Styela clava: one gene and its partner. The protein of the gene in region 1 purifies or fractionates together with the protein of each later gene. This does not show direct contact. Links are inferred from orthologs where the notes say so. Each region holds a gene or a part of one and is shown in the gene's direction. Other genes may lie near its edges. The genes, in order: protein HGV2-like and histone acetyltransferase type B catalytic subunit-like.

The links.
Region 2: the proteins of protein HGV2-like (region 1) and histone acetyltransferase type B catalytic subunit-like purify together in Homo sapiens (affinity purification with mass spectrometry; 3 studies listed by BioGRID and IntAct, with this or other methods). This does not show direct contact. The link is inferred for Styela clava from reciprocal best matches to the Homo sapiens genes NASP and HAT1.

What each region holds. Positions count from the first base shown.
Region 1 is NC_135259.1:2,808,003-2,825,589, forward strand, and holds the start of protein HGV2-like, read left to right. Parts: upstream 1-10,653; 5' UTR 10,654-11,079; coding exon 11,080-11,141; intron 11,142-12,528; coding exon 12,529-12,642; intron 12,643-12,866; coding exon 12,867-12,985; intron 12,986-13,113; coding exon 13,114-13,176; intron 13,177-14,069; coding exon 14,070-14,198; intron 14,199-14,682; coding exon 14,683-14,733; intron 14,734-14,809; coding exon 14,810-14,853; intron 14,854-15,074; coding exon 15,075-15,205; intron 15,206-15,483; coding exon 15,484-15,613; intron 15,614-15,989; coding exon 15,990-16,125; intron 16,126-16,445; coding exon 16,446-16,564; intron 16,565-16,874; coding exon 16,875-17,009; intron 17,010-17,126; coding exon 17,127-17,216; intron 17,217-17,587. Other genes in the region: uncharacterized protein LOC144428011, read right to left, coding at 6,066-6,250, 6,691-6,786, 6,863-6,908. UniProt on the Homo sapiens protein: Component of the histone chaperone network. Binds and stabilizes histone H3-H4 not bound to chromatin to maintain a soluble reservoir and modulate degradation by chaperone-mediated autophagy.
Region 2 is NC_135263.1:14,088,628-14,105,249, forward strand, and holds histone acetyltransferase type B catalytic subunit-like, read left to right. Parts: upstream 1-9,708; coding exon 9,709-10,914; downstream 10,915-16,622. Other genes in the region: uncharacterized protein LOC120340976, read left to right, coding at 3,978-4,011, 5,752-5,882, 6,145-6,249; sarcalumenin-like, read right to left, coding at 13,951-14,232, 14,935-15,084, 15,615-15,810, 16,185-16,359, 16,433-16,622. UniProt on the Homo sapiens protein: Histone acetyltransferase that plays a role in different biological processes including cell cycle progression, glucose metabolism, histone production or DNA damage repair. Coordinates histone production and acetylation via H4 promoter binding.

The sequences.
Region 1 (17,587 bases):
GACAACACCCCCGTGCACTGAGACAACTTTTCTTACGCCCTAGAAAATACCAACTTGTCTTGAATGTTGATAAATGCGAGTTCGGCAAAAGAGAGCTAGATTGTTTTAATTTAGGGCATCGCTTGACACCGACTGGTATCTATCCACTATCTTCAAAGGTAAAAGCAATCAACAAGTTTTCTTTACGAAACCTCAAAACAGCTTAAAATCTTTTCTAGGTCTGGTATGCTACTGCCATCGTTTTGTAAAGTATTGCGCGGTTATTTTAAAACCACGACATGTTCTAGCTTCACAGAGCAAGAATATGCGACAATCATCCAAATGAATACCTGAAACACAGCTGCCATTCAAAAAGATTGAATCAGAACCAGCATTTGAAATAATGCTTGTACATCCAAATCATACTGCAAGGCTCTCTTTAGTCATCAACGCCAGTCAATTGGAAATGGAAGCCGTCCTTCAACAATGTGTTGGCGGCAAATGGTCACCTTGAAGCGAACTAACTTCTTTCTAACAAGAAAAAGACTTTCAATTATGTTGATGTTTAATCCATAACAAAGCAATGTTAACGACAAGCGAACAGAAAACAGAATGACAAGTTATCGTAAGAAAAGCACGTAAGTAATCATGCGTGACAAAAACATAAACAAAACAATTGTGACTCATAACGGCTATTAGTTAAGTGGTTCGCCACAACCTCTGCGATTTTTTTCCAAATCACTGATTGTGAGCTCTTTATCAGCTTACTCTGCAATAGGCCATTTTAGCACGCAGCTAAAAGGCTCAAAATTTCAATTTGTGACAGATAACGATGCTCTTGTTAAGCCATGAAAAGTCCTCCCATTATCTCGCATTCAATTCAATTCATCCCAACATCACCGTTGTTAGCATTTTTCAGCCCCCGCAGTCAATTTCCGGAATGAGCTTCATGCCGCTCAAAAACGATTAAGGACTGATTGAATACAAAAGGGAACCTGGATTAATAGATGTTCCCATTGTAGAAGTAAGCGGAACCTTAGTATTAATTTGATACATCAGCAGCTAATAAATTGAGGACATTTGTGAACTAATCCATCAATAAAATATTTAGTAATATCCATAGTTTAGCCCATCCTGGTGCCTAATCGGATTTTATCACGCTACGTGTGGCTCGGGTGGCTACAAACATCAAGCAATGTGTTCGTTAATGTGCTGAATGTCAGCGTTCGAAAGAGCAACATCATACACGTATATCCAGATGACAAATATCCAAGTTCCAATGCGATAAATTCAACTCTGTAAACGGTGATATATTAGGCACCCTTGGTTTTAAGCAAAGGCTACTACTACATTCTGATATGTGTAGAGCAGGGTGGTCCAAGTTTGTTGACCTAGCGGGCCACAATATTATTCTCGGATTGTTATATAAATTATATAATAGTGCCAATATTATAAACAGTGCAATACAAACATCGATCATTATTTGTCATTTAGCTAATACATTTAAAAACCACCCTTAAAACCCACTAAAACGTGCAAAGATCTTACCATATCCACATTTGGTGTAAGTTTTCAAGCTCTTCAGAAACAGAAATAACAAAAAAAGTGTCTTAAGGAGTAAATGTACTTTTTCATTATCACCGACAAAACTCACATACGTAGTAAACAAGCATTGTGGTACTTTCCCTCCCATATCCAGTCAAAAATCTGTTTGAATTGGTTAGCATTCTTTTTAAACTCATGTTTACAAAATAACTTACAGATAACTGCAGATCGATTGATTGGAGAATTTTACCAAATTTGAGATACAAGGTAATTACTAATTTTCTGACATATGGGCAGCATTTTCTGCAAATATATTTTAGGCTGTTTGTAAAAATCCATCCGACAGAAATTATACTATTCGGCCATTAATATTTAGTTATCAGGCAAAGCCAACCTAGGCTAATGGATTCTTCATCCGAATTTTAGTTTTCTATGAAGCCTATTTTGTTAGAATATATTCCCAACCAAAATATATATGCAAAGTTAATTAACGATTTAGACTAGCCAAGCAAGCACATTATTCAACTTTAACTCTGGTTATTTTCATGACAAAACAATACCAACCAAATGCGATTTTTTGTTTAGTTTCGCACAAATGCGACGCGGGCCTGGGTTTGGACCACCCTGGTGTAGACCGTTTCTCACGTTGGTTGTATCGTATTGAAATGAAGAATATAGTTCGTTTCCGGTCTCAGCGATACTTGCCCCGATATCAGTTGAAGATATTGCTCATCTGACTTTAATCAAATTCGGACGAAAAAAATCTGTGTAGGCAAGAAACTGTGGGTGCACCAAATACCTTGCTGAGATAGGAACACGGTAACGTTTTCACTGCATCACGGAAGCACACGTCACAAGTAGCCTATAGCCTCCATTAGCAGAATAGCAGACCTACTACAGATTTATTAGGGAGATGAGAATGGAAAGGAAGTCCTATATTATATAGTCTTCACATGATACCAGCTACATTTGTCTGTTTTTTAGATTTAATGAAAAGCAAGGATTTTGAACAAACCATGGTCGTTAATTATTATAGTAACTAGTCAAGAATCTCCTATCTTTTTTTTTCATTGACATTGATTTCATGGAAATAAATTTCAAGGAAAGCATATCGTCATATATTATATATGTATAACATATTAACGTAACATAACTTCACTCTTTTGAATATGACATTGCCCTGGTTAATTGCATACCTGTTTTCGCTTTCTCTTACACTTTGGATAAGATTAACAAAAATGCCAAATATTAGAAGAACACGTTGCAGTTTACAGCGATATATGAAACAAACGAGCACACATCAATATACAATTGATTAACATGTTATTCGTAGGTTCAAAATAACATTCCTTTTTGTTCACAGTAAATGGCGGATTCTCAGTGATAATATATTCATTAAATTGTGTCCAAAAATCTTGGTTGGACAATCAAAAAATAAATGAAATAGGTCTTCAATTGCAGTTTCACAAAATCCATAAAGATTTGAATTCACCAGGTTAAATCCATATAAAATATTTTTAGCACAATGGCTTTCAGAAAAAATTTAGTTTGAAAAGATCTCAATCTAGTTTCATTTGTTGAATATTAGTTATTTGAAAATATGCAGCCAATTAAAGTCATTAGGTAAATTTGGATTTTCTTCACAAAACCTTTGTTGTTTTTTACCGGATAAAAACTCATCAAAATCAAACATGTCTATATTCTGTAAACAATTAAAATCATTAAAATTCTCAATACAACCCATCCAACTTTTTGGTATGCAGACAATTAATTTACAATAGTCCCTATACTCATTTACATTGTACTCTATACCGTACTGTTCTATCAGTTAAAATTAAAAAAAAATACAGAATTTTTGTTCACCAAATGATGTAATTCCCAGACTCCGTTTTCTTTCCAATTTTTATAAAAAAAAAATGGCATTCTTGCATATTGTAATTTTTTGTTGTACCATAACGGTTCAATATAGAGATGTATATTGGCATTAGATGGTAATTCCACATATATGTACCAGGTACAAAGTGTACCCTTAATAGTTAAAAAATGAAGATTTTTTATGAAGCGAGAGTTATGTCACAAATTTCACATCAGCAAACTATGTAATTCTATATCTCTCTTTCGATTTATCAATGAGGTGATACAACCATTTCCGTTTTTCAGAAATGATGGTAGTTTTTAACGCCTACCATATCAGTTCCGTCTTTCATTTTGGGACCAATCAGTGTTTTACGTTTAACTATTTCCCGATTTGAGTTCCACAGGAGACGAAATATTAATAAATTCAGTGATTTTACAAATTTTTGGGTATAGTAGGCTAACTGGTAAAAATGTACATTGATGAGTAAAAAGAGATAGAATTAATGATTTGATTACACACACTTTTCCTAGGATTGTTAATATTCCCATACACCAAATTTGGATAATGTTTTGTATTTGCTGCAACTTAGACGGTAAGTCAAGTTCATATAGCCTAGTTGGTTTAAATTAGTCGTAGTTGTAATTTCCAACAATTTTAATTCATAATTCCAGTTGAAATTGTTGAGAATAATTTGTACAATTATATCATTCTTAAGTTCCAATATTCATTACTTGTTATTTTCCAGCATTTGTTTTGCACCCTGGTATATTGTCAAACACTTCAGCCGTTCGAAATAAAGTTTTCTATGCTTTTAGATCAACCATCAGTAAATACTACGGTATCATCTGCAGCTAGAGCTATTTCAATTACGTTTTCTGTTATTTTAAATCCAGTGATATCTTCGTTGTTACGAACCATATTTGCTAAATGCCTATTACTATCAGGAATGAATACGATTCGATTAGGTCGCCTTGTTTAAGTCCTCTTTGTAAAATTATTGACACAGAGAAGAAAATGTTGTTTGTTTTGGTTATAAAGAATTTTTATCCACGAAATGAAGTTGTCTTGAAATCCGAATGTTTTTAGGTTCTGGAACAGGGAACACCATTCGAAACTATCAAATGCTCTATGAATATCTAATCCAAATATTGTGTCAGGTAGTTATTTCATTGTATGTTGTATGGTGAATTATATCACAGAGTAGTCGTATGTTTTCTCCCATTTGTCTGTTTTGAATAAATCGATAAATAAATTTTAATATTTGTGAATTATATTGTTCAATTACAATTTGAATTTGTGTCGCGAGAACTTAGCATTTGTGTATTCTTATGCTGGTACTCGACAAAATATTTCTGGCCCGTGAAATTTTTGATGATAGGCAATGGTTCAGCTGCCATGTGTTAAGTGATGACGATGAGCCACACCACCACCGCGCCGGTAATTAAGAAATTTATGGGTTCTGTTTTTTGAGGTAACCCAGTGAATGCGCTTTTACTATTATTTCATGACTCATCTTGTCATCCAATTGGCACACTTTCTTATATATATATCGACCTGTAGTTGAAAGTAAAAGATGACTGGAAATTGCGATGAGATTGGAAAAATGAAAATTACTTTTATATTATGCCCTTTTTGTTTGAATGCTGTAAAACATTTAGATATTTACTCAAGGTGATCGAACTATGAGTATCCAGTATCTATAAACTACGTAAAACAAAAAAAGACAACTGAAAACGTTGAGTTATTTCAATATTTATGATTTTGTAGCCTATAAACGGCCTAACGGGCGTATATTGAAATATGATGTTGCTGTATCTTTGGATGAAAAATCGTTATCCCTATCAATTCGATGCCTCATCTATTCAGTCGACTTAATAAGGTTGACACTATAGGCTCTGCCGTTGGTATCTGCACCATTATGTGGTGTTATATTAAAGACAGTCGGGGATGGGGTGATACAAAAATAACAGAGATGTAACGTCAAAAACAATCGGATTCGCGTCGTACGATTTCAATTCGACCAAAAAAAATTCATGATTTTAATGAGCATATTCTGCATGGTCATAAATCATTTATATAATACTCGCCTAACCTAAAAAACCTGCCAACATTCACCCATTTATCACACTTGTTAAAAGGGAGACTGAGTGATGTTGCACAATGTATGTGTTAGCAGATCTCTATCCGGTATACCATATTCAAATTCCCAGAAAACTCCACCCAAAATTCTTAGCGAGACTGAAAACGAATATTTTCCTGTTGACCTATAGAGATTAATGTAAACAACATGCTGGTCAACAAATTTATCCCATTCCTCGCTATTATTCCGATGAGACAGATCAGTAATTAAAGTTAATTAGAGGCATTAGATAATTATCGTTTATTTTATCGAATTGCTACGTATAAATCAAATAATACATTTAATTAATTATAGTATCGTTGACGTGTGATGTTTTGTTGGCAGATAGCAATGCAGTCTTTTAGTAAGACTAGACTAATCTTATATCACTAGAATCGAAATATTTTCAGGAATCACGTCAAGTCGACTGTTCAAGTGGAAAAAGCATGTTTATATCAACGGACTGCAAAATGATACATGATCCTTCCGTTTATAAAATTAGTATCCGCATATGCATAATATATACTTCTGTCAAGTATCCAAAACTGAAATGTCCATATTGGATCAAGTAGATTCACTGATCACTATTGCTCCTGGCTGACCTTGCATTGGCGGATATTGATTGATACATTCATTCTTCAACGTCATGGTAGGAGAAATGAAACCATTGTCAACCAAAACTTCAGAAATTTTTTGAAGTTGAAATACGTTGATCCGAGGTGTTTTGGCTTTCACGAATGCATTCCAATCTGACGCAAGAGTATATAAAATCATGTTTAATCAGCAAATTATATCCAATATTGATATCGTTTCAATCATATATATCTTCGAAACGAAAACTTAAAACCGATGTAGATAAAATATTAAATGAAGCCTAACAATATAACCATGATCATCCTCCTATAAATGCCCTTTACAGCTTAAAAAGCGGATTCTAGAGAAGATTTTTTCAAAAGAATTAAATCAAAAGAAGGTGAAATGATGGAGGACGACAAAATTGTGGGGCGAAATGTCGGGTCTCATAAGGTATGAAAGGTTTTAAAATATACGTGGAAGAACAAACGTTTTCATGCGGTATCTCATGAAACGCAGCTTTATTATAAAACGTGTAGACTACAACGGAAGAGGCCATTCAAATGGGTATCCACACTCATATCCATCGCTACTCCTAATACAAATCGTTACATACCTCGCCCATAGAAGAATACAGCAATGAAATAGCTTTCGTAGTCGGTAAGGAATGTTATATCTGCATCCAAATGTCGGCGTACAAGTGGGTCGATATCTGTTATTTAATAAAGTAAAAGCAGCATGGTTTTAACAAATTATGAATTTAATAGGTTGTTCTGTGTCATGTCTACCTTCTGTTTCCGCATATATCTTTTTTGTAGCGAATCTATGGAACATATCTGTATATGTCTTCCCTGCAAATAAAAAAAGGGTCGATTGTCGAAGTATAATTAGAAACTCAATATTTTTTGAAACAAAGATAAAATTTTTCACTCTTCCAATGATGGTGCTCTACATACTTACGGTCAGATTCTGTAGTATGATATTTTCCAGATGGTTCACGAGCATATTGAACATTGTAAAGTCTACTTTGTCTGAAAATTTATAAATTCATTTGTCGGAGAAGATGAGAAAATCAAGCACATAAATATAAAAAAGAAATACAGGTACTAAATATAATGATGAATAAAAACACTTTACCCTTCTGCATAAGTTTCAACCGTGGCAGTAACAAGATTTTCAAAACAGGTGAAATTGACAAACTTGCAACATCCTATTGGTATCTCCGCCTGTGGAACATCGATAATGTCATACAATGGCAGCATTTGCTGAATCTGAAGCAAACATATATGAATATTTGATAAAAATATTTACCTTTGAATACAAATTCAGATACAGTATATCACGACTCAAAAATTTTCCAATAACACTGGACATCTTTAATAGTTGTAGTTGTGAATGGTCCATTTAATCTCAGGGTTTTCATTTTACGCGCGAAATTCTATTTGTGTGGTGTGTTACGTGTGTATGATTGAATCTTCGGTATACCAAGGCGCTTTGAACAAAAGTTATGTTCTTCGCAGGATATGTTCCGAATAACCTCTCCGGCGTTGGTGACTAAGGATCTAAGTATGATTACTTTAAAGTATTCGATTCTTACCCGAATTCTAAATTTTCGATTCCGATTCTCGATTCCGAATTTCGATTCCTCAACATATATATTTCCGAGAAAACATACACATCTAAGCTATACCATATGAAATCAAACAAGAGAGCGATGTTCGAATATATGGACGGACAAGAAGGCCAAAACTAAGTATAGTATGGGTATTCAATCTGTCACAGGAGACTAAATCGCGAAATATATATACCGTATATATATAGTGAAATTTGCGACGTCGTAGCAACTCAACATAGCAGTTTATACATACCGGTATATGTGAAGAAATTTCCACAAAACGTTACGCATTGTTTGCAATCCAAGTTTTAACCTCGAGAATCGATTCCAATGCATAAAATTGATTCTAGTCGATTCCGCAAAGAATTGATTCTGTAATCGAATCCGGATTCGATTCCGCCACCCCTATTGATGACAGACAGCGTACCCTGGGGGAGAGGGTGTTGGGGGTCGGACCCTCGCCACTTTTTAAAATTATAATAGAGAATTTTCTGTATTATCCACGGTAAATTTTCGTAGCTTGAAATGATTTTATATTCTCAATATTCTCGAAAACCAACGTTTTACAACCTCCAACCGGACTCGCTAGATGTTACGGTCTGATTTGAATCCTAGAATCACCCCTAGAATTTTTTGAGGGGGCGTGAAGCTAATTAACAAAAAAAATTTTCGTTAGATTTGATCTTGCCCGCCCTATTTTGAATATTTACATTTCTTAATTTATCAGCCAAAAACAATTATTCACGTTCCGTCCGCGCATTGTCAACGTATTTTTAGAATTAAACATACTTCCGGATTAACTATCTGTTATTTGTATCTTATTGTGAGCTGGTTATTTTTGAGGTGGGGCAAGAGACTTGCTAAATTATAGAAATGCGTCGCGGCTTAAAAAGTTTGAGATCCACTGGATTAGATAATTCGTTTGTATTTATGCCTCAAAAATTCAACATTCAAGTTTTTTTGATTAAGGTAAAATTATTTTAGAGGCTTGAATTTATGAAAATAACGCCGCGGGATGATCACTTTTCGACGCACAGCGCACACTGTTTCTTTTGTGGTCTTTCGTGATTCACAAGCTTTTGTTTCATCAATTTTCAAATTCTAGTCGTTAAGGTGTCTCAGAATGTTTTAACACAAAGTTGGCAGCCCTACTCCCACCCTACACACATGGCTAAGATATCGATTTTCTGGTTCGTACCACGCACGAAGAAAGTCTTACTGAGAACGATGAACTCAAAAAAACGTGCAGCTCGGGTAGCCATTTCCAAACATTGCAAACTGGTCCGTGTTAGTGTGAAGACGAAAATCAAGAACTGAATACGCAACATATATGGCGGTTATGGTCATCATATGGACTGGCCTACCGCCGTCCACACACGGTAGCACTTTTGTGCAAAATGTCCAACTTTACTAAAACTTGTTTACACTCAATTTTCTCCATTTTTATATAGGTAATTAAGAAATTTATGGGTTGGCATATAAGAATATATATGTACTAACAGGCATACGTACGTACCTTAACCCAGTCTATTTCTTGCGTAGATAGTGCTGAAGAAGCTTGTGTAATTATATTTACCGAATATAATAAACACATTATTGCAAGAAGTCCTAATACCGCCATAGCCTTCGTAGGGAAGAAATGTAGGCTACTATATAACAGTGAATTAATGCTAATAAGTAAAGTAATGAAATCAAAGGCAGCGTAAATCTGAATAATAATAACAACAAACATTTACTATACAATTATGCCCGAAATTGAGTATAATAAATCCAACCTTCATTAAAATTTTAAAATTGGTCAGATAGGTAGATTTATATATATATATATATAGTTCGATAGTTAAAACTTATTTCCGGTATCATAGAAAATGTGAAAAGTACTTATTTTAAGAGATAGCGCTTGCTTACTAAGCATTCGATTTTGAAGCATATTTCCTTGTAATCATACTTCAGTAAAACTGCCGAGAGTTGCTTGACTTCACGAGTTGTAAGATTCCAAATCTGCTTGCATGCTTAGCGCGGTTTCAGAGTATATATCATAATATTGTTTATGTTATGTAAATCTATCGCATTATATGCAGGTTTTCTTAAGCAACGCGTAAGAAAACGCTCTGCCCGAGAAGACGAATTGTAACAGAACATTTTATCAAAATCAATACAGTAATGCTGCTGCTGTTCTATTGTTGTTTCTAAAACAAAGTATAAATCAGTATCACAATAACATTTTATAGTTAGGCATCTTTCGGTATGTTGAAACGAAAGCTAGAAAGCCATATAAATTGAACCGGATAAGTACTTTTCAAACTTAAAAACAATATTTTTTTAGAATAAACTATTCTATTACTGTGCTATAGAATATAATTTTTCGTAACATATTATGATACTAAACTGTTTTGAATACTACGGTATATTGAAATAAAAGTAAAAAGAATTTTTTAACTCCGACTACAAGTAACATCAATTTTTCATTAGCAGCTAAAACACCAAACTCGAATGACGCAATTGAGCCCAACATTTACAAGTATTCAAAATCCTTTTGCATTAGCATTGCGCACAAATATTTGCGGATAGCAATTTGGGGAAATCTGTGGTAAACTACTGCTTTTTGCCAATGGCGAGGGTATAAAATATGACATTGCAAACAGTGTCGACAGTTAATATTAGTCGTATTTATTTTCTGTCCCATCTTTTTCCAGTCTATCGTAACAAGGGCCATATTAGGACGATGCGAGGCTCGCCTTATGGCCTGGGTTACTCAGGAGCACACTGAAATGTACCACTAGATGTGATTATATCTGTTCGAAAGAATCAATTTACAGTCACATAGACGAAAAATCTAAAGTAGAGCTAAGATCACTTCCATGGGAAATCGTACACTGTTCTTCAAGCGGAACGGCGGAACGCAACCTACGCACAACATGCTACGTTTCGCGCCGATTTTACGCACAACAACAAAACATTGCTGAGTGAAGAAATCATTGGACAAGCGTTTCGTTGATCACTCGAAACTTTGGTCATTTTGTTGGAAACGTGGCGCTGTAGGGTTGATTTTTTGTTGACACATGGTTTATTTTCGAGGACTTGTTTGGTCCTATTTCTCTTGCGGCATCGTCTGGTTGCAGGTATAACCCCACGGTCAGGAATTGCGGAACTCGAGGTTTTGATATTCTGATATTGGCCAACTGACAGATTGATCAAATTCAAAGGGCTGACTTGCTGAAGAGACACCTCCTTATTCTGCATATCCACCGCCAAAATCGGTGAAATTTTAAAAAATAAAGCTCAGAAGTGGACTACTAAGTCCAATATTAGAGTATTCTTCAATATTAATTTTAAACTACAGAACTATCTTATTCACGGGACAGCCTGAGATCACAAAATCAAGACACCATGGTTCAAGACCCAAAATCAGATGATGCTCCATCAACTGGACAGGGACAAGAGATAGAGGCGTGAGTTGGCTTGTAGACTAGGCCTTTTTCATTCAGTATTTTTTTCTGATCATCTTAATTCTGAAATAAATAAATTTCTGATCTTCGAATACCGTCTGACCGTACTCAAATCTGCAATTAATAAATTACGGTAACCAAATAAAGCTTGACTTGGTAAATTAAAAAAATGGCTCAATTCGGCAGTTGCAGAATTAGTCTATGTTACCAAATGCAAAAAATGTGAATATTTTTAGATTTCAGTATTTGGATGTGATAGACTATTCAAATATTAACTTTTAACTTGGCGCGGCGGTGTGGCTCAACGGGCTAAGCGTTAGGAATACTCTCGCCACCGCACCTCTAATTACTCTGCGTGGGTTCGCAGGTTCGAATCCCATGCAGGGATGGTTATGTGCGAGAGGATTGCTGGACTCCTCGCCGTCGTTCAGTCGTTGGGTGGTTCACGTAACCGCTGGTCGGTTACGGCTTCCTCCACCACCAAGTCCATGCTTCCGAAAACAAACAATACAGTAAAACTAATCCCATACCCGACTTGGAATGGTAACCGGACGAGAGGCCGTGGTTCGCCATATGGATAAGCCGTCTTATCGGCTTTCCTCTCCCCCCGGGATAAATATGTAAATCCTATCCTATCCTAATATTTAATTTTTCTCATATATGGTACTGTCTGATTGTAGGTTATATAACAGTAAAATCCTTCTCCCTATCTCCTTGTTTCTGTAAATGAAGAAATTAAAATATCGTTGCTAACTTACAGAGTTAGTCAGAAGACTGGAATAGCAGTTGCTAAAAGTGTCATGTCGGAATAATAGTTTTTTTTCATGTTTCTATATTTGTAAAAAGTTATCTGTACTTCGCTTGATTCAGTAATATGAGAAATCTAGCTATAATATAATCTCATCTAGAACTTTTAATTTCTGCCTGCAGACATATTTAAATATCATAAAAAGCATTCCTTCACAAGCCACATGTTCAATCACTGTAACTATAGTTTTGTTGATTGATATTTCTTTCAAACAAATTCATTCCTTCAGGATGAGGTAATTGCAACCCAGAATTCAAGTGTATGACCTTTAGTGTTGTGTATGTATTTCTTGGCGATACAATTGTTTCAAAAATTCATATTAATTTTCGACAGTTCGAAAAGTTATATCTGTATTTCATACCACATATGCTATTACTAGTGGTTGAATTTATTAAGCCAGTGTTTAATTTGTTGAATGCTTGCAATATATTAGTACAGATCTGCAGACTAGAACATTGGTTGAGTCTTAGTTAGATAGCCTACATTCGATTTAAGTGCGCTATCGATACTTTGTATTTCTATCTATTGTCTTAAATTCTCCTATTTTACCACATTTTTATTAATTAAAATTTTCTATTTCAGACCTGTAGATGTTGATAAAGAAATCAAAGACAACATGGGGGCAGGCAAAAAGCATCTCTTATGTAGTGATTATCCTGAAGCTGTTGCTTGTTTTCAGGATGCATGTACCTTACTGTGAGTTAAATTAGGTATTTCCCCAGTTCCCCTATTCCTATTGGTATTTTTTCTGAAAATTTGTGCAATACAATTTCGCTTTGTTTGCCATTGCCATTGTGAAATTACTTACATATCATTCGATATTAGTTGGTGCTTTGTTCAGAGCGATAAGTGTAATATAAAAGAATAAATTGTAATGATCCGTCACATGTTTTTTTCCAGTTATAATTGTGTATTTACAGGTCAAACAAGCATGGGCAAATGGCTCAAGAATGCAGTGATGCATATTATTACTATGGAGTTTCTTTACTAGAATTGGCAAGATTGGAGAATGGTGTTCTTGGAAATGCGCTCAAAGGAGGTAAGCTCAAGGTTTTTCAAAGATTGTTCAATTCAATAGTAACCTAACTATCTGTACGAATAATAAAGCTAACAGAATTTAGTCTCTTTTACTTCTGTCTACTAAACTTATATTCATTTTTTCATTAGTGCCAGAGGACGAGGATGAATCTGACAAAGATGAAGAACAATTTGAAAAAGCAGATCTTCCAGGTATAAATCAGTGTTCCAGTGTTTTTTTCCATCCTCTAGCTTTTATAATTTGTATTGTTACTCCTCTGCCATAGCAACCTCCTAGGTACTGAAAAGAAAAAGTTTTGTTGCGTAATACTGATAACTAATAATGCTAAATATTGGAGGATTTGTTAAGTAACAGATGACAATTACCATCACATACTCTCACTCTCGCATTGTCATATAAGAATCACATGTATGTACCTTACTATGCCATTCAACATTGACGTCCTTTTATCTATCCCTTACAGCTTGTGACCAATATGAAGCGACACAATGCGTGTTATTTTCAAATGTTATTTCCACATATTCCACCATTTTGCTTGAATCAGTTGGTGTTTTATATCCCAGACATTGCATTATATAACACAAATGCAGTGTAATATTTCCCATTCCTATCAATTACCTGCTGCCAGTTTATTTGTACTTTTTAATTTTTGGTACCAGTCCACAAGTGTAGAAATGTTGAGAGCTATTGGTATAATCCAGTTTTACTCTGGATTTTATCTTGGAAAAGATGTTTTCGCAGAGTAGTCATGAAAACTATTGTCTTGTTTCATGTTCAATATGAATTGTGCAGGATGAATCTGTTATCCATGCATATGTTTTAGGAAGTTGAATATCGTGAATTTGTACTTTGTTTCAACTAACAACTTAATCTGAACCAGAACTCCTGGCTCATTGAAAAGACTAGATTTCTCTTCTAGTTCTCGTTCAAAGGAATTTCCCCATAGGAGTTCTAGTGGAAAGTATCAGGTCTCTATAATTTACAATCCGAAATATTAGCACTGTCATGATCTCGAATGCCACTACGCCCACTAGTCAGTTAAAGTAAAGTGTGGATATTGGCTAACTTAAACATTGCTCTCAAGAGGGGGAGCGTGAAAAATTGAGAGAGGAAGTTGAGGCTGCCATGGCAACAGAGGATGAAGATGCAGCAGAGGAGGAAACTGAGGGGAAAGAGGGTGAAAAACAAGAAAAAGAATCATCTACTGAAAAAGGTCCTTGCACCCTTCCTAATGAGTGTTTTGTCACTTTTTTGTTGGACTTGCACATTATTCAGTGATATTTGTTTGAATTCTTTGTTCTATCACTTTTATTGTGAGCACTCCAACATAGCAATGTTTTGTAAATTTATAAACACCATATTTTAACCAGGTCCCCTTTTGTGTGTGGTAATAATCAAAATTGAATAGATAAAAAATATAATAAATCTGCCATCTTTTTTTTAATCGTATGTGATGGGTTTCAAGCTTTTATAGGTAATTCTTGCCCTTATAGATGATATATTTCAATGCTATTCATATATTGCTTCAATTGTTGTGACCAAGGAAGGGATGCGAGGACCTTGGAAGTCTATAATTATTTTTAACTCTGCCACTGTACAGAAATATTGGAAATTCCAGATTCTACCATCGAATTAGTTTTATGGAATCTATAGTATTGATTATTCATACACAAAATCGATACTCTTTCTTAATTCAGAAAAAGGCGATGAAGAAACAAAGCCTAAAGATGAAAGTAAAACAACAGAAGGTATTTAATTGTATATTATGCCATCAATTAGAGTTCACTTTTTCATTACTTCAAGTACTCTGTTTTGATATTTTAGAACCCAAACAAAAGGAAGAAAAAGGAGAGGAATGTGCAAAACCAGTAAGTATTCGATTCGGCTAATAGTCATTTAGTTATATTGAGATAAATAAGGGAGTCAGCTACATACCTTTCTCTGTTCCTCGCTTTTGTTATGCTCTAACAAGATTGTCATAATTATCCTGTGGTATTGGAAAATCTAGCTCAATTCCTTTGAGGTGCATGAACTAGTTATGACTCGGGGAAATTTTTAGTAGATGGTTAATTGATTCTATCTTTTCCAGGAAACCTCCGAACCTCCGTCGAGTAAATCTGAACCTGCCAAGGAGGATGAGGCTGAAGAAGATCCAGATGATATATCTAATATGCAACTAGCTTGGGAAATGTTGGAACTTGCAAAAGTTTTATATAAAAAGTAAGTTGAAGCTTTGTTATTTATAACATTTAAAGCAGAATGCTTTTGAACCATTCAAAACAACTGATGTCTCCTGATTCCGGACTGACAAAAATTTCACTCTGCTATCATCTTCTCAAAAATCAAAAATTTCTAGTCTCAATTTCGGCATCGGAGAGTTTGGAAAATAAGACAAGCTTTTATTCTATCAACAGTAAAAACATAAAGCTCCACTGATTGTGGTTAACGATTTCAATAAATTACTGTCTAAAAATTTACATTATAATGTTGCAATGCAGAAGAGAAAAAAGTAAACCAAACAGTCTCATGATTGCTCAGTGTCATCTGAAACTTGGTGAATTAGGACTCGAAGTGGAGAATTATCCACAAGCCATTGGAGATTTTCTGGAATGTCTTGTCGCTCAAAAGGTATGATATATATATTTCGCGTTATCTTATTTCTAGTAATTGTAACAAAGTATTCACTTCACATATTAAGATTCATTATCATATATTGTCTTCATACAATACAGGAAATTATTTTTTTGCCCTTCAGAGAAATATATCATATTCAACATTGCATCATCTAGTTTTCACCATGATCAGAAGGCATATATTGGTATCCTAACATGTCGGATACATTACCATTTGAAGCCTAGTGAAAAAAATTTGTGTGTTGTAGCATTTGATAACGTCTTTGATAATGACATAGTGTGTATCCCAATTAACGTAACACTGAATTTGTAGGTATACGTCTAATAACTGTGTCAATTATCTTGTTTCAGTTTTATGATTTTGTTTTCAGGAACACTTGCCAGAGACAGATCGTAAGCTGGCAGAGACTCATTATAATTTGGGTCTTGCATACAGCTTTGAGAAACGATATGACAATGCTCTCGAACATTATCAAAATGCTTTGAACGTATTGGAATCTAGAGTTGGTAGGTATTTGCGGTTTCTAGTTTATTGAGAAATGCTGGTATTATTTGCATAATTAAAATTTCTCTCTCCAAATGTCTTTATTCATGAATGCTCTTTGCTCTTCAATCACTTGATCAGTAAATTGATTCCTTCTAGTGCATCTCTTACTTGTTCCAAGTGATTTCATTGCATTTCTCACTAATTTTCGAAATCTAGTGGTAATAATTAATATTTAGTCTCTATCAACTGAATTTTCGGAGTGCATTAAGATTTGTATCGAACTGTTTTCAAAATGAATATAATTTCTTTTGGCACACCCCACTTTGTATTTATATTTCAGAACTTCTTGAAGAATTGATTGAAAATCAGGAAGGTGAGAAGGAAAAGGAATCGGAGACAATTGCTGAATGCAAAGAAATTGGTGAAATAAAGGAATTGATTCCTGATATTAATTCGAAGGTAGGAATTTAGAAAGTAAACTGGTAGGTGGTTCTTTGTATATTGGAAAGCTGTTTATATGGATTTTGTAGTAAGTAAGCGTATGATCTTGTTGATAATAGTCTGGCACCAGTCCTTAAGATGTATTAGCATATGTGGATGTGGAAGTTATAACAGCATGTATCATTGTAGTTTCTCATGCTTCATTTCAAGGGAATGTGTGGTTTTTAGATTATATATTGCAAATTCTTTGATATGGATAGTGATCCATTATCATTTTTTATAATAGCATTAATTCTAGTTTCTAGTACTGGTACACATCCATTTTCAGATCGAAGATGTCTTACTCGTAAAAAAACAAAATGAAGGTAGATTGGAAGGATCTCCTTTTCGTCAATCTGCTGGTGAAACAAGTACTGGTTTTGATGCCGGCACTTCAGGATCACAGGATAAACCCTGCTCATCTGTAAGTATTGGGTAGCAAATTTTATAAATATTCAATTAGTGCATAAATGTTGAATCTAAAACAATGGCGTGAGGTTTTAGAAGCAGGTGGATTTAGCGATACTTATACTTATTTCAGATTCCTGTTCGTAAAGTTGCTCCAATGTCCTCTGCTGCTTTTACAAGCAAAGATTCATCAAGTGACATCTCACATCTTGTTCGTCGAAAGGTATATATATATTGAACACATATTTAAATCTAAATTAAAAAATTTCCCTCGGAAACTTTTTTGCATGTGTGTGTGGAAAACATGTTTTTTTTAATAAGTGTTAATACGTAAGAATTAAGACGGTATGAATTCTTTCATATTTTTTTTTTTTGAAATAGAACAGAATTCTGAGATTTGGGAAACTTTTGACAGACGCCTCCATTCTATTTATTACAAGGAAATTTTCTCAAAACAAGGTCACGCATACTTGCTCCCAATTATAATGAAATGTTCACTGAGCGGAGTTATGATGACCACTACAGTGCCAACGGACTAAAACCATAGTCTGGGACTAAAGCCATAGTGTAGAATTTCGCATTTAGTATATATTA
Region 2 (16,622 bases), on another chromosome or scaffold:
GTAAAAGGCAAGTTAATTAACATAAAATTAATCACGTAAATAATTGCTTTCTGGTTATTGGGCAGGGCTGGCAAATAATTCGAATATCAAGTCGAATATTAGAATAGCAGTTTACTATTCGAATATCTGGTAACACGGGGAGTGGACATGACACTCGCGGGCCGCCGAATCAAAGAATCAATTGCGGTTTTTTGACGACCACACAAGAACACATACATCGCGTCAAAACTGAGTGTTATATTTGAGTTACAGTGTTTTCATTCATTTATTTTGAGTAGCAATGATACTACCTCAATGTTTAAATGAGCATAATGTGCGCCAATGTCAAAGGAATATCAAGTTTAAGTGGGCCGTTTCGTAACATTTGAAACACCAATACAAGTACTTAATGAAGTAACATTACAAAGACTAAATACGACTAAATACGATTTTCAATAATTTTTGAAGGCTCATATTTTTTTCAATTTTCATCCTGCTGGTGATCATACTTTGTTGTTGGACACTTCAGTTATACTTAAAAACGAAATCATTGTCAAAAGTTGTCGGAAAATAAAATAACATATTCGAATTTGGCGTCGAACAATCGAAGTCGCACAAAATACGACAAAATGCGATTTTAATCATTTTTTGAAGGCCCATATTTTTTTTAATTTTCATTCTGCTGGTGATCATACTTTGTTGTTAAACACTTCAGTTATACTTAAAAACGAAATCGTTGTCAAAAGTTGTCGGAAAATAAAATAACATATTCGAATTTGGCGTCGAACAACCGAAGTCGCACAAAATACGACTAAATACGATTTTCAATAATTTTTGAAGGCTCATATTTTTTTCAATTTTCATTCTGCTGGTGATCATACTTTGTTGTTGGACACTTGAATTATACATATAAACGAAATCGTTGTCAAAAATTGTCGGAAAGTAAAATAACATATTCGAATTTGTAGTCGAGTAATCGATGACGCATCAAATATGACAAAATCTGATTTTCATCAATTTTTGACGGCCGATATTTGTTCCGATATCCTATACTTCATGAAGACTCGCTTTGTTCCTTACCCCATATCATATATAATACTTGTGACTATCTATATCATTCAGAATTACTCTTATAATTTGTCGGCATTTCGTGGATTATATTCGAATTTGGGCTCATACATTACAGTTAGCATTAGTAACATTGCAAAAAAACCTACCGATATTTTTGGCGTTCCATTATGTGATATTAGATTTTGTTTGGTTTTTCGTGCTGACATATTCTTTTTTTATGTGATTCTCCGTCATGTGAATTTTATTTATGTATTTTATAATTACCAGTACCAGCTTAATGTGCTTAAACGTATCTTTTTCTCCGGTGTGTTTTTCTCGGAACATTTAATTCTGAGTAGGATCCGTTTATTCGTAATTAATATTATTAAAATTAGTTATATTCCGCGTGGGAATCGGTTGAAAACTGCAGAATATTTTTCTGCTGAAATTCTGCTGGATTCACAGTGGTCTTTTTTCAGTGGGATGTAGCATGAGTCCGTTTTTTTTCGAATTTCCGGGAGTCGGTTATCACAATAGTATTTCGACTTTGAGATTTTGTTTTGTCCAATGACATATAACAATTGTCATATGCCATTGAATTTGTCAGAGCATTTCGGGCCTCTTGACCGGTTACCAGTCCGTGTCGGGTATGGTTAGCCAGTTTTCGAAAGCATGGACTTGATGGTGGAGAAGGTCGTAACCGACCAGCGGTGGCGTGAACCACCCTACGGCGAAAAGGAGTCCAGGAATCCTCTCGCACATAACTATCCCCGCATGGGATTCGAACCTGCAAACCCACGCAGGGTAATGATGAGCGTATTTCTAACGTTTAGCACGAGGCCCCACCGCCGAGCCAATATGGTAAATAACATTGAAGTGTATACACCTCAAGGGTAATAACACATGTTTGTTCGCGTTACTAATATCCAGGGGAGGTCGCTACGCTACCCGCGAGGGGAAATGTATAGAAATATTTTTAGTAAATTAAGAAGCAGATGTTTGTTTGAAATTTGTTGGAGGACTCGGAGCGTTGCGCCGGAGTCGAATTTTTCCAATTTTAAGGTTCGTGATCACTCAACCGTGACGAAATTTTATTAATATCAACTAGACCTCAACTACCTTGTATGACCCAAATATGGCATCTATGCCTTTCACCATTCTCGAGATATAACGTAAAATCACTGGAGCATGACTGAGTAGCGGGGGAAAAAAAATTCTTTTAAAATGGATTCAAATAATTTTTCTAAAAATGCCCATGCCTTTTCTTTCCTAATAAGTCCCTTCAGAGGCCTGCAATAAGCCAAAATCACTAAAAAGTGACTGGGGGATAGGAGAAAAAAAATTTCTTCAAAAACATGTTAAACTAATTTTTCCAACCATACCTATCTATTTTATTTCTCAATAGCTCCATTTTTGGGTGCGCAACATTTTACGCCACTGGATGGCGATTGGGAGGGGAAGCACCGATTTTTCGGTAAAAAAAAAATTTAAATTAGTTATACTCTTTGAGAATTAGGCAAGTCTTTGCCGAAAACCCCATTCATATGTCTCACAATCTCCTAAAAACAATAGAACCTAAGTGGGCGTGGCTTTGCACGAGTTTTCTCACCACAGAGGGCGTGGGAGCAATGCCCCCACCCCCAATTATACTTGGAATAATTCCCAATGCTCGGGCAAACGCTTTCCGATTCCGGAAACAAAGCTAAATGGCCTCTAAACCCCCAAATCACTCTAGCATTACTGACTGACAGCTTGATTGACCAATAAGCAGCTCCGGGCCACTAAAATCCCATTTTAACCCACTTCCATTGGCCCGATCGTATCCAAAAATTTTCTGTGTTTGTTTGGTAACTACCTCCCGCTTCATGCCAAATTTCGTCCCGATTGGTCCGCCAGTTTTCTGGGAAATGGTAATTCTAACGCTATCTCTTAACAGACTTCGTCAAATTATTTTTGCCCTACGCGCAAAGTCTTTTGACCATTACTGTGCTTTCGCACTAAAGTGCTACAAGTTTGCCTGACCAATAATCATAATATTTATCTACAACCTACACTTTGGTTTGTTTCCGAGCAACGTCCGAGCAAAGTAGGGCGGCCCCAGCGTAAAATTCTTTGTCGTTGCATGAATTCCGTGTATAAATTTATATTCCTGTTTAGTTCATCGTGTATTCATTGCATAGATGGTGGCTATGTATTGCATTTAGTTTTCCAGCTTCGTTGAAAATCCCAGTTCTATAAATAGCACCGATTTGAAGAAGTATGAATCATTGCTATGAAAACATGTAAAACACGTAGTGACAGGTTCTTATCATGAAAATACTTCCATTCAAAGGACTTTGTATTAGCATAGCTTGTATTTTTACTGATTCATTCTATCCTTGGCCTTTTAATGTGAACATTCTACCCTACCATACTTGGTCATACATAGTGGGTTGAGTGGTCAAATTCTAAACAATAATGAAGCAATCGATCGTCAAAGCGTGTCGTTGTAACGATGCGCGTTGGCTTGTTTACGACTTGTCGCGCCTATTTTCATCGATATAATTGCATTTCTTCAATATTGTAGCTTTGATGCCCTAATAATTAGGTCGTGACGTCATTAAATCTCCAAGTGCAGTGGTGAAATTTAAAAACTAAATCATGAATTTTTTGGTAACTATTTTAGCTATAATCATGGTTGCGGTAAAACCATCAGTGGAGTTTCAAAGCATATTGGTTGACGATTTGAAAAGAAAAAGAAAAGTGCCAATATAAAATAACAAAATTTGAGTTCGGTAGCATTGGGTTAATAACATGTCATATTAACGAATAATTACAATTTGACTCATTAAAAATTAAATCCGCGTGGGAATGAAATAAATATATCCGGGGCAAGGTGATTTCTTTAGGTCGAAGTTTGGTTCTCATCGGATTTATTTTGAACGTGAGAAGTCTCTCAGCATTCCACGATGATTAGGTCAACTGTTCTCAGGCTTGCACGAGGTTAGTTAACTGATATTATTGTTATACACTTTGCTCTATGTCACATTGATACCATATTATTGTGTTTGTTATGGAGTTTTCAAAATAAACTATCTATCTAATATATTGGAAGTAGTACCGGTACCGGTACGGTAGGTACCGTAAATTGATATTTTCGGTCTAGGATTTCACAATTCCTAATTCCAGTAGTCTGTGCACCGGGTAATGCTAGAATAATTGGGTCTCATGAACTTGTAGTGGGTGTGGCATAATGATAACCCCCACCTGAGTACGTCATCAAAAATTACGTCACTGCACCATCGTAGCGGTTGCTAAAGTCAGAAAGGGTATAGCTACAATCGTCCGAAATGGCCTCTGTACCGACTAGAATATAATGAACTTACTAATGCCAGCAATCTCTTTCTTGTCAGTACGGTTACGACGAGAAAACAAGAGGAATAGCTTGCTCGATTTCAGATGTTTGTCTGTGGATATTAGACCGTATACTTTGGAAGGCCTTATTATTTTGGCAACACACTGTTTATGGCAGTATTACAATTTTGAGAAGTCATTTTGACTGCCAACGCCGCAATGTGTAGATATGTCACCAATATCTGAATTTTGCAACAATAACATCAAAACAAAGATATAGACGAACTATCAGTAGAGGTTACGTGAGACCAACTCCCAATCCTTCCCCAATGCATTGGTGCTCGTGGATTTGTATGCGTATAACAGCAAGGATGTTGTATCGAAAATAAACATGACCATACTTGAATAGCATAATAAAATACAGATAGTCGTATGTATATAGTATTTCTGAGTTTGGACAAAATACCCAACAAAATTATGGAATGAACTGAATGGAATTTCTTTAACTCCATTTTCTCATTGAACTTTGCATATCGAAATATAAGAAAAATACTGTAATATTATGTTTTGTATTAACTGTAAAAGTCTAGGTGTGATTTAAAATGTCAATTTTTTTGTTGATGGCTTGCAAATACATTTCATAGTTTTGCAATAGTTTGTTAATAAAAGCTTTGCTTACATCCCAAATATTCCATGGCTAAATATACTGTACTTTTATTACAGTTTCCTTCGGACAATTATTCTAAATTTTTTGTAAAATAGTGGCTTGATGAGTTTTCTTAACAACTTTGTGTTTTGAATCAACTGATGTCCACTGACAACTTGTGCTAATAAACATTTAGTTCAGAGTTGATAGAATCTAATGTGTACTGTCAGTTCCTACCTTCTCGCACTGAAGCGCTCTTTCCTAGGAGTTGGAAACTAGGACATTTAATTAACCACACCACTGTGTGCTATGCAAAATTAACCGGTTAACCTTCGTAATTATAAATTTCAATTGTTTGACATTATTTTAGAAAGTGTGGATAAGCTTACAGTCATTTAAACAAATATCCATTTGTTGGATGACATCCAATTGGTAATCCTTAATTACTGTCATAGTTGAATCATTGCTCATGGTCAATATTATATAACGAAACACTAGCTTGTGAACTTATTAATGCTGCATTTCCACCACCAGCAGTCAAAAGTTAGAAATATTTTTTTACTGGTAAACTAGTGTTATGATTCAGAAAAAAGGACATTGATAATTTCATGAATGGGTGGTCGGTAGGGCAATATTACCAGGGGTAGATCACATTCAATAACCTTTGTAAGATTGACTGACCCAATCTGCTCGTCACCACCTTAGAAAAATATTGTGCATTCATTATGATAATTTTACTTCAGCACCACTGCTGCAGAAAAGAATGTCTTCAGGCTTCAATAAATATCCAGTTTTGAAAAACAAACTTTTCGGAATAAGCGGAAATGCCATGCTTGCTTCTGGTTTCTCATTTTTTCTAGTAGCAGTACTGGTGGTAAGATATTTAAATTTTTTGCACCTGAAAATTTGACTACTATAAACTATATACTGTACTATATAATTATGAAACCAATCAATTTGAACTTTCCATTTCAAATTCTTATCAGTTAATGCAAGTTTCCAATTTAAATATGGCTTAAATCGAAACATATTCACCTTAAAGTGTGTTTAATAGTAAATATTTCAATTTGACATATATTTTCAATAGAATCAGGATACAACAAAATAATGAATTTTTTTTTTGTATCTATTGACAGGTTCAGAAAAGTGGATACCTCATTCCACACACCATTGGGCCAGGATTAAGTCCCGTGGGGAGAATTGAAATTGATCTCACTCCCGATGAGCTGAAAAACCGATAAAATCGTATAAATTTGCTCTGTTCCAATTTTAGTTTTGTTCAATTGAATATTATATGTCCTGAATTCTATTTGTGATAATTTGTCATACTGCAGCGCACTAAGCTTTATGAGGAATACCATGATTTTGTTTTTAAACCAGTTAGCATTTGTAGTTGTGAGGTGGCCAGGATATTTATGTTATATGTAATGTAGGTTGTAATACTATTTACACAGAGTTAGTTGGTAAAAACTGGAAATAGCCAACTACCCATTATTATATTTTGTAACGAAGACAAATGTAGTTGACAAACTGGCGAAGCCAATTCCAACCAACAATAGAAGGCAGGATAGGATAGGATTTACATATTTATCCCGGGGGGAAGAGGAAAGCCGATAAGACGGCTTAATCATATGGCGAACCACGGCCTCTCGTCCGGTTACAGTCCGGGTCGGGTATGGGATTAATTAGCCAGTTATTTGTTTTCGGAAGCATGGACTTTAAGGTGGAGGAAGCTGTAACCGGCCAGTGGTTACGTGAACCACCCTACGGCGGCGAGGAGTCCAGCAATTCTCTCGCACATGATCATCCTGCATGGGATTCCACGAACCTGCGAACCCACGAAGGGTAATCAGAGATGCGCTGGCGAGCGTATTCCTAACGCTTAGCACGATGCGCCACATCGCCGAGCCTTGTCAATACGCTTAGCACGATGCGCCACACCGCCGAGCCTAGTCTATGGGATTCTCATTCGTATAAAAATTGTTAAATTTAGGTCTACTAAATAAGACTACGGTACATGTACAAAGAAACATGCAAAACGACAAAATTTATCGACTTCGTCAACTTTAAAAATCCAGAACTATTATAGGTAACTAACAAGAGAGTCATGATCAAATCTATGGAAACGAAGTTCATAACACGAAAGTCAAAACGAATTATTTAACCATCAATTCTTCGAAAATCATACGATATCCTGAACTGCAGAACAGCCACGGCATCTTACCAGTTTCTGTTATCGATGCGTGGACTGTGCTAGCTCTTCCAGGCGGGTCTATGACGATTCATGATTGAGTTGCAACGTGAATTGGAGTACGAATCGATCCGAGTCCCTACTGTAATATCATTTCCAGTACTGCCGTCTCCATAAAAACCACCGACTTTGACTTTTTGATTTTGGTTGACGTCACCCAATGACATTAATGTCATTGACGTCCCCACACAAAACTACAGTTAGAGAAAATGAATTGCACAAGACCCACAGGACGTTCCAGAGTTCCCCATTTTTAGTTTGTGTTTGTTATTATGGATTTTTATAAATAAACTATCTATCCAATAAATGGACCCAAGCATCGATTACCTTGTTTATTTCCGTAACAATAACCAATCAGCAAAAAGTCAACGACGACGTAACAATTTTTAGCATCCGCCCAGACGTTACTTTGCTAACACAGATATTCAAGCATGGTTATAAAAATTGCCTCGGTTTCGCGTGTTATTTGTCAGTTTTCAATTGTGTTTTCGAAATTCATTAGTGAATGAAGTGTTTTATTTGTCATTATGTCTTCCGATGAGCTATAGTTTAGTTGCAATAATCAAAGATTAGCCTCGGCAAAGCTGCGATAGACTGGACTGAAGTTATCGTTTTAAGTTATCGTTTTTTATTTATCATGTTATTCTTACTGTATAACTTTTTTATGGTTGTGTGTGTGGGTGCGTGTTTAGGTGGGTGAACACGTACCGCTTCTTCTTGGCAAAACCTTCCATCTTATATACATTCTGTACGTTTTAAACCTTATCTAAGGTTTTGTTTGCTCTCCTGATTTCATGATCAGTTTTTTTTTTACCAATCATTTTATTGTTATGCTGATTATGAGGTCGATATAAACTTATATTAAGCACTTAAATCAGTGTGCAAGTGTCAACTCTCCAAAAAATTTTCAAAATGAACATCCAAAATTTTGCAATAGCAAGAATAGGGAATATTTTTGGGAGAAAAGTGGTCGGGGAAACCTGGGAAACATACCATCTATCTAAGATTCTATAGCCTGATTGTGAAGTAGTCTACCTTGACAACCGATGTGCTACTTATCGCATAGAGACTTTAAACTTATGTTAGAAAGTTTCATGTACCTACTATACAACAATTACATTCAATTTTGCCTGATAACATATGTATTAGTGTTGCAATTTTATATAAAAATATTTGGGAGTGGAACATTTTGCGTCGCTAGCCCGATGCAATATAGGACTATTAGGAAGTCATTATTTTTGCATGTTGAATTTTACGTATCTGACAAAGTTTGGTCCAAGTATAAAGTTTGTTGTAGCTCAAAAATGGATCATTTCTGAAACTCGAAAATTATTTGTACGGTTTCTCAAATTTAATCGTGTTTGCTATAGCGAAAATCATACCTGTCACTCAGGATTGGATTCGCGCCACAGACTCAGAGACTCATCGAGTTGACCATTCTTTCATTATTTAGAGGCGGATTGGCACACACTTTTTCTATTCTAGATTCTAAAACTGATGTAGGCCAATAAACCAGGAATAAATTCAGTATGTCAGTGGGTGGTATTTGTAGACTTCTTGACAATTGGAGCGATACGGTAACTCATAAATGCTGGTTCGTCAGCAGGTCCACTTACCTGCTTTTAGTAAAAGTTTCACTATCAGATTAGCGGTACCGTACGGTACCGGTACCGGTAACAGTATAACGTTACACCATGCAGCCATGATTGTACGAAGATCAAAGATGCTCATTTTTTAATCAGATTATTTCACATAGGTCTACAGAGTCATTGAGAGTGGAAGTGGTGAGTCGGTGACTCCTCTTCGGCCCATGGGCCGGGGCCACGGCCCATCAAATTGGGCCTCGGCCCATCAGGCTATGGGCCGCGGCCCATCAAGTTGTGTAAAGAAACTATTCACTTGGCTAACACAAACAGTCCCCAAACTCATAATAGAACTATAATGTAAAAAATCTGAACAAATTTTTGCCCTAACCCTAACCTGGTACACATACTACAGGAGTTTATTTTTTGGTTCGAATATTGACAATTTTGTAAAAATTGAAAATTTTGGTAAGATAATTGAATTTTTCCTGACGGGGCCGCGGCCCATAGCTTGATGGGCCACGGCCCATGTGGCCCAATTTGATGGGCCGTGGCCCCGGCCCATGGGTCGTAGAGGAGTCACCACCCCTGTAGGTCATTGAAGTCTGAAAGTGGTGAGCATTGTAAGAAAATGGGAAAACAAGATGTTTTTGGTAAAAACACACTTCCGGGAAACAGGGAAATTAAATACCTCCAGGTCAATATTTAAGGAAAAATGATGCACATGGTACCATAGTGAATAATATCCAGGCATCTATAATTCTTATATTCTTGCTATATTGTAACTCATATTACTTTTATATTTATTTTTTTTTGAACATAGAGTTATAATCTGTTGCATATTTCTGTACTTGACTAATATAAATATGGCTGCCGGAGGCCTTGATGCATTAAAGAATAATATTGATAAATATATATGTTCTGCAAATGATGCCGTCTGTTTCAAAATGATTCAAGATACGAGTGACTTCGAGAACGAAAAGAAAACATTTCATCCTGACATGTCGCACCAAATCTTTGGTGAAAAGGAACAGATTTTTGGTTACGCAGATCTAAGAATAGATTTATTTTATTCAGCAACTCAATTATTTGGATATCTTGGTATGAAGTATTCGGAAAAAATCGACCCAGAAAAATTTGGCGTTGAAGTGGATAATATTAACAAAAAAATGGAAGAAGTTCTTCCTCCTGGATGTTGCCAAAGTTTAGATGAATATTCATCTCATCTGCAAAAAGATTCAGATTTCCATCCACATGGTGAAATGGTATATCAGTATAACAGAACATACAAAGATGGAACAGAGAAAGTTTTTGAGATGTTTCATCCTAGTATTGAAGATCCAGGTTTTCGAGAATATCATGGCAGAATGCAGACATTTCTTTATTGGTTTGTTGATGCCGCAAGTTACATAGACATAGATGATGAAAAATGGGAATATTACACCATTTTTGAAAAACGATCCAGGAACTGTGGGGAATTTACTTATTTATTTGTAGGATATTGCACAGTTTACAACTTTTATGCTTATCCTGAACATATCAGACCTAGAATCAGTCAATTTCTTATATTACCACCATATCAACGTCAGGGCCATGCGACCGAAATCTTGGATGCTATTCAAAAATTATTCTTGACGAGAGAGAACATTAGAGATATATGTGTTGAAGATCCATCAGAGAATTTTCAACGAATACGAGATTTTATTGATTGCCGAAATTGCATAGACTTTGACTGCTTTCAACCTGAAAAACTGCCGAACGGATTTTCAAAATGCATGTTTGAAGAATGTAATAAAAAGTTGAAGCTTAATGCAAGACAAACTAGAAGAATATATGAAATTTTGAGGCTGAAAAACACTGATATTTTGAATGAAAATTCATTACAACCATACAGGCTTGAAGTCAAGAGACGACTCAATCAACCATTCACGGCAAAACAGTATGGTAAAAAGTTGGACAGTAGCATCATGCCATCTAATGACGAACGATTTAACATTCTGGAGAGCGAGTTTTCACGATTGCTGGAAGAATATTTACCAGTAGTTGAGAGGTTGAATAAAAATGCTATGTGATGAATATTTGTTCAACTCCCAGTTACAAAACTTTCTATTGATATTGTTGAAATTATTTTTGTAAATTTCCATTGTACGATATAAGGTTCCAAATTTATTATGTCAGAAATCTCACAACTGCCTAACTTAATATTTAATGTATGAAATTCCTAGAGATGGTATAATTGTTATTGGGTATAGCAGTTTACAGTGTTTGTTCCTAGATTGTTACTATTCATGTTTCAAACACACTTTCTGGTCTTATTCCTGCTTATTGTTCCTGTATAAAAATATTATTATGTGTCTTCCACTGACTTCTTTATTCAATGTGAAATAGCATCAGTCAGAACCCAAAATTATTTTTCTAATGCAAAGTTGGCCCCAATATGCAATAGCAATGAATCAAGGTTGGGGATTTAAAATCAAAAAGGTTGTTGGCTTACTAGGCAGGTAGGTCTGTTGGCATTCGGGTCTGTTTGTTGTTGGCAACAAAAGTTCGACTCTCGAGGCAGGTATGTATTCAATCACTGTGAATTGGCCATCAGGGTGCAGCTAGGACTGTTTAACAGTGAAATTAAAATAGGGCACCGAGAGTGCCATTTATGACGACGCAAGGCGTTTAAAGAACTAAAAATAGCGTCGCCCGAGCGAAATTCCTGAGTTACGTGTAGCTCGCCTCCCTTTGTCAGGCGTCGTTTGCTTGATTGTTTGAACATCTACTAATCGTCGACCTTTATTTCATAGTCAGCGTTAGCATGTCGCGTTCTTCGCTCTTCATTGTTCATAAGTTAGCTAGCTATTTGCCGGAGAAAAACTAATGTAACTGCACTCTCCCGAATGTTAAAACGCCAGTACTTCTCCATGACCCAAGCCTTGCGCGAACGTGTTAAATGTGCACGAAATACAACGGAAACAAAATGAATATAGAAAATAAACGAATGATATATGCCAGTGCTTCTCAAACAAATTTCTTGTGTGTAGAGAAATATCAATCGGATTCGTAAGAAAGTATTTCTTGAGTAACCGCATTTAGAAATAAACGATAAAAATCGTGAAAATTACTTTTAAAGAGAAGTACAATTACACTCGCGGATGTCAGTGGCGTTATAATCATTCATATGCACAAAAACAATCTCGCATGTTGCATCGATCAAATGTCCTGAAATGTGAAACTATTACTTGTAATTTAATGTTAATCAAGTAGAGTCGATAAAGTGTTTTATTGACATTTATTAGGATATTCATATTCGCCGTGATTAGTGGTGGGCAAAATCTTTTTTTTTTAATTCGAATATTTGAGTATTGTCAATATACCTTATGTAATTTACTAGAAAACTCGGTAATTTTGTTATAATCGCTGATTTTTTTTTTGTCACCGCGATCGTTTTGGCGGCCGACATCCCAAATAATACTAAAAACTATATTGAAGCACTTTTTTTAATCAAGTATTATTTCTCACGCAAGGGCGGACATCGAAGTTTGGTTTTTATATTTTATTTCATGCAAAAATATGATTTTACATTGGCAAAGATATCAAAAAAGCTAGTGAGGAGTGAAATCACAACACAAATTAATTTTATTTTGATTTTTAGCGTAAGATTCAATCCTCCATATATATTACACTTTGTAAATTACGGTCCCAATTTTAACAATATTATCATCACTGACCCCGGGAAGTGGATAATTATGAAGCTGACAGTTGACTTTTTTGCGCTTTTAATATTATATCTTGTCCGTGTTATTTTCGTGTTAAATAATAATTAAAAACTCCGCAGATTGGTCATCGAGTATTCAACTCAACTCAGCTTTGAATTAAAATACTGATACTAAAATAAATCGAGAATAATGTCATTTATTTCTAAAAGGTAAAATCAATATTTTCCCCAAAGTATCGGAAAAATTTCGATAAATACAATATTTACCTGCCTTATTTTATATCTGGTTTGAAGTTTTCAAATTCACAAAATGATGTTGACGCGCTTTATGCAAAATTAGGAATTGAAATGACAGGCGCAAAAAGAAAACAATCGTTTCTGTAAGTGGGTGACAGTCGTAGGTAAATTCTCACTCTTTAACTCTTACTTGTAAATTAATGGTAATGAAGTCTAGTTTGTTTTTCAATGACGGCCGTGACTTGGATTGTGTCGAGATTTTGAAAAGAAAGACCCTAAATTATCATATACCACTTTTCTCCGTTGAACGCCCAAAACGGCGTTTAGTTTGGTTCATTTATCCGTCTAGATTCTAATCTAGAGAGAAAGGAAAATACACCGTACTGGATTGCATTCAACAATTGCACCTCTTTATCGCGGATTCGACAATCGCCATTGAGGGTTTCCAAACGTCGAAGAATGAATATCCTTCTGTGATGTACTTTTAAGATAAATTCTTTCGATGTTGCTGCAGTTGGCAATTCTTCATTAAAAGACCATGCATGCCATTTGAATAATTTTATTTTTCACTTGATTCTGAATATTGTACCATCGCTTGTCAATAAAATCAACATGAACTATGCCTATGGTAAATATATGAAGTATTACGGTGATAAGCGTCCATATCAGCGCCAACTAAAAATATAACATATCCTAATAGCAATATCGCACAGAATATTCTTTTGACCACGAAAACGTGATGCGCTGGCCCTAAAATGACGCCGCAGCTTTTGAGCAGAAAATATAAATTTGCCCTCAAAAAATTTTACAGCCCGCATCCCCACTGGCTGCGCCTCTTCCGCATCATCTACTTATTCAAGGGGGCAAAGGATTAAAGCAAGCAACATTCATAATTCCAAATTCTTGGTTGAACTATCTACATTGTCGCTCACTGACAATACAAAATTGCCGACTTTTGAAGATTTATTAGCAGTACCGGTAACAGTGGAAAAAACAAAGCAGCACTGGCATAAAACTGCACTGTGAACTTAAAATATGAAAAAAATTGCCTGAAGTAAAAAAATATATACCAATAAGTCACCACTCAATGCATAAATTTATCGTTGCAATTTGAACACTGTTAGAGTTTAAATTTTGGCAAGTGCATCGTAGTTAAAAAAAAATACTACAGCTCGTATCTGGAATATCCAGAGTTTTGTTGACTGGTTATTCTAGCAAGTAATTCCGGCAAAGTTTTGAAAATAGAATTTTCAAGTTTATCAATTTCACATCCATTAAAATATCTACAATACTGCTGCAAAGGTTTGAAATCTGTTAAAGGATTCAAAGAAAAAAATTCAGAATAAAGGGAAGGTGAAGGCATGTCAAACTGACTGACACTGTGTCTTGACCAGACATTTTGAAAAATATTGTGATGTTCTGGATGTGATACCAAGTCTTCTATTATCTGCAATACAAAAAAAAGACTATGCAGAAATATTACTTGAGGAGAATATTCAACACGATGAAGATTTCTCAATAAACTAGTGATGTCATAATATTCAAATTACGGCTCAGTAAAATGTTTATAACATATATTTTACTGTGCAAAAAATTGCAAAATTTACTTGCTTTTTACATCAATAACACAGCATATGCCAACCATATGTTGGAGATCATTGTGACACATATGGCTCGGCGGTGTGGCACATCGTGGTAAGCATCAGAAGTGTGCTCGCCACCGCACCTCTCATTACCCTGCGAGGGTTCAAATCCTGTGGATAATTATGTGAGAGAGGATTGCTGGACTCCTCATCGCTGTAGAGTGAGTGACTGTCAAATTAATCCCATACCCAACATGGACTGGTAATCGGACGAGAAACCGTGGTTCGCCATACGACTAAGCTGTCTTTGCGGCTTACCTCTCCCCAAGATAAATATGTAAATCCTATATTACAAGTTTATTTTAATTATTTATAGCATTTGGTACGATTCTGGATTCGAAGCTTGTGCCCAGAATTAGTTGCAGATGATATTTTTGAACTTCCAACCAAATATATCACTCAGTACAACTTTACAGCTCATTTTCATAGATTTCTTCCTTGTACTTTTAAGATAAGAAGGCCAGGAAATTTTAACAAAAAAAATAAAACATTAACAGTATACTCACTGCATCAGGGTCTTTGAAAAAACTATTCCTCTTAATGTAAGCTGTCAAATATTCATCAACCAATAATGAATGAATTCTTACTCTCTGAGCATGTTGTCTCACAAAAGCAACTTTGTTTTCAAGTCGATTTTCAATTACATCATTCAAATCCTGTAAAATAAGTCATAAAATACATATTTGGGATTTTAAAGAACAGAGTTCTATTTCTGCCGAGAACAGTTCCTCGAATATGACTTCTATATGAATGATGCAATTGTGTGTTAGTGTTAACACAACCAACTTCTACGACTACAAACCATGTCTAGAGGATATAGAATATGAAGCAGGTACTTATTTCATTGTCTAAAATCAGATTAAAAAATGATAGGCTGTAGCTTGCCATATTGGTCCAGCTTAAATGATTGACATTTTTATAGCATAAGAGATTTTTTTGTTTTATGCTGTCTTTTTCTTAAACAACTCTTGATTTTTGTAACATAATTTGGCATATTTAGGACTCTTTGTAAATCCTCATACATACAGATCATAGCTTATATGAATAACAAGACAAAATAATCAAGGTATGTCCGGCAGAACCCCGGTAATATCATCAAACTGAGACCAGAACGAAAGTCATAGATAATTAAAATTGGTTAGCAGAGAGCGGTATCACTATATCGATTAAGAGATCCTTAACTGACCTGCAGTAGAGACATTTCTTCTTGTTTGAAAAGTGCAGTGTTTGTACTAGGTTTGTATTTATAAGGCCAGAAAGAACCTGTATATATTCTAGGAGGCTCTGTTACATTAATCAAAGGTGCCAGACTCCAGAATAAAGCACCATATACCCTCATCAGTTCTTGAGACGAAAGACTGTCTGCTTTATTTAGAATCAACCTAAAAATGAATAATTTGAAATGATTCGTAAAAGGGACACAACATCTGATATACAGCTGAAAAATGAAATTCGATTAAAGATTTATTTATGAACTGAATAAAGAATTATGGGACTTCCAGAAGTATGCGCACCACCTGAAATAGGATTCAGGTTGTGTGACATCTTCGTGCGCATACTTCTGGAGCACCAAAGTATGTCATAATCATATGCAGGGTTTGCACCGGATAGTTTGGGATTCGGTATTCTATATTGCCCATCCCTACTGCAAACCCATGCAGAGCAATCGGAGACGGGTGGCGAGCGTGTTCCTAACGCTTCGCGCAATGAGCCACACCACATCGTGGAATTTTCTATACAAGTTAAACTCACTCGCCTTATTTGTGATTCCTTTCCTTTAAGTTGTTTGAATAATGTTTCAAGTTCTAAACCAACATCCAACTTAGTGGGATCAAACACAATGAATATCAAATCAGCTTTATCAATAAACCATTGAATGACCTTGTTGAATGGATATCCTCTCTCTTGTTGTTTTCTATTCTCAATAATACCTTTAAAAACAAGATGTAGAAATTTTTTTTTTTTACAAATGTGTTATCACTAATGATGTATTGTATTGCAAACCTGGTGTATCAACAAATGTTACTTTCTTCAAAAGAGGATGTGGCAATTCAACTCCTGAAAACCTTTCCATGAAATGTTGCCCAAATTTTTCTAAAGCTGAATACTCCATTTTCTCTGAAACTACAACAACACCCTCTGTATTTTTCTCTTTTTCCCCATGACTAACAATTGTGAATTCGGCAGTCGTCGG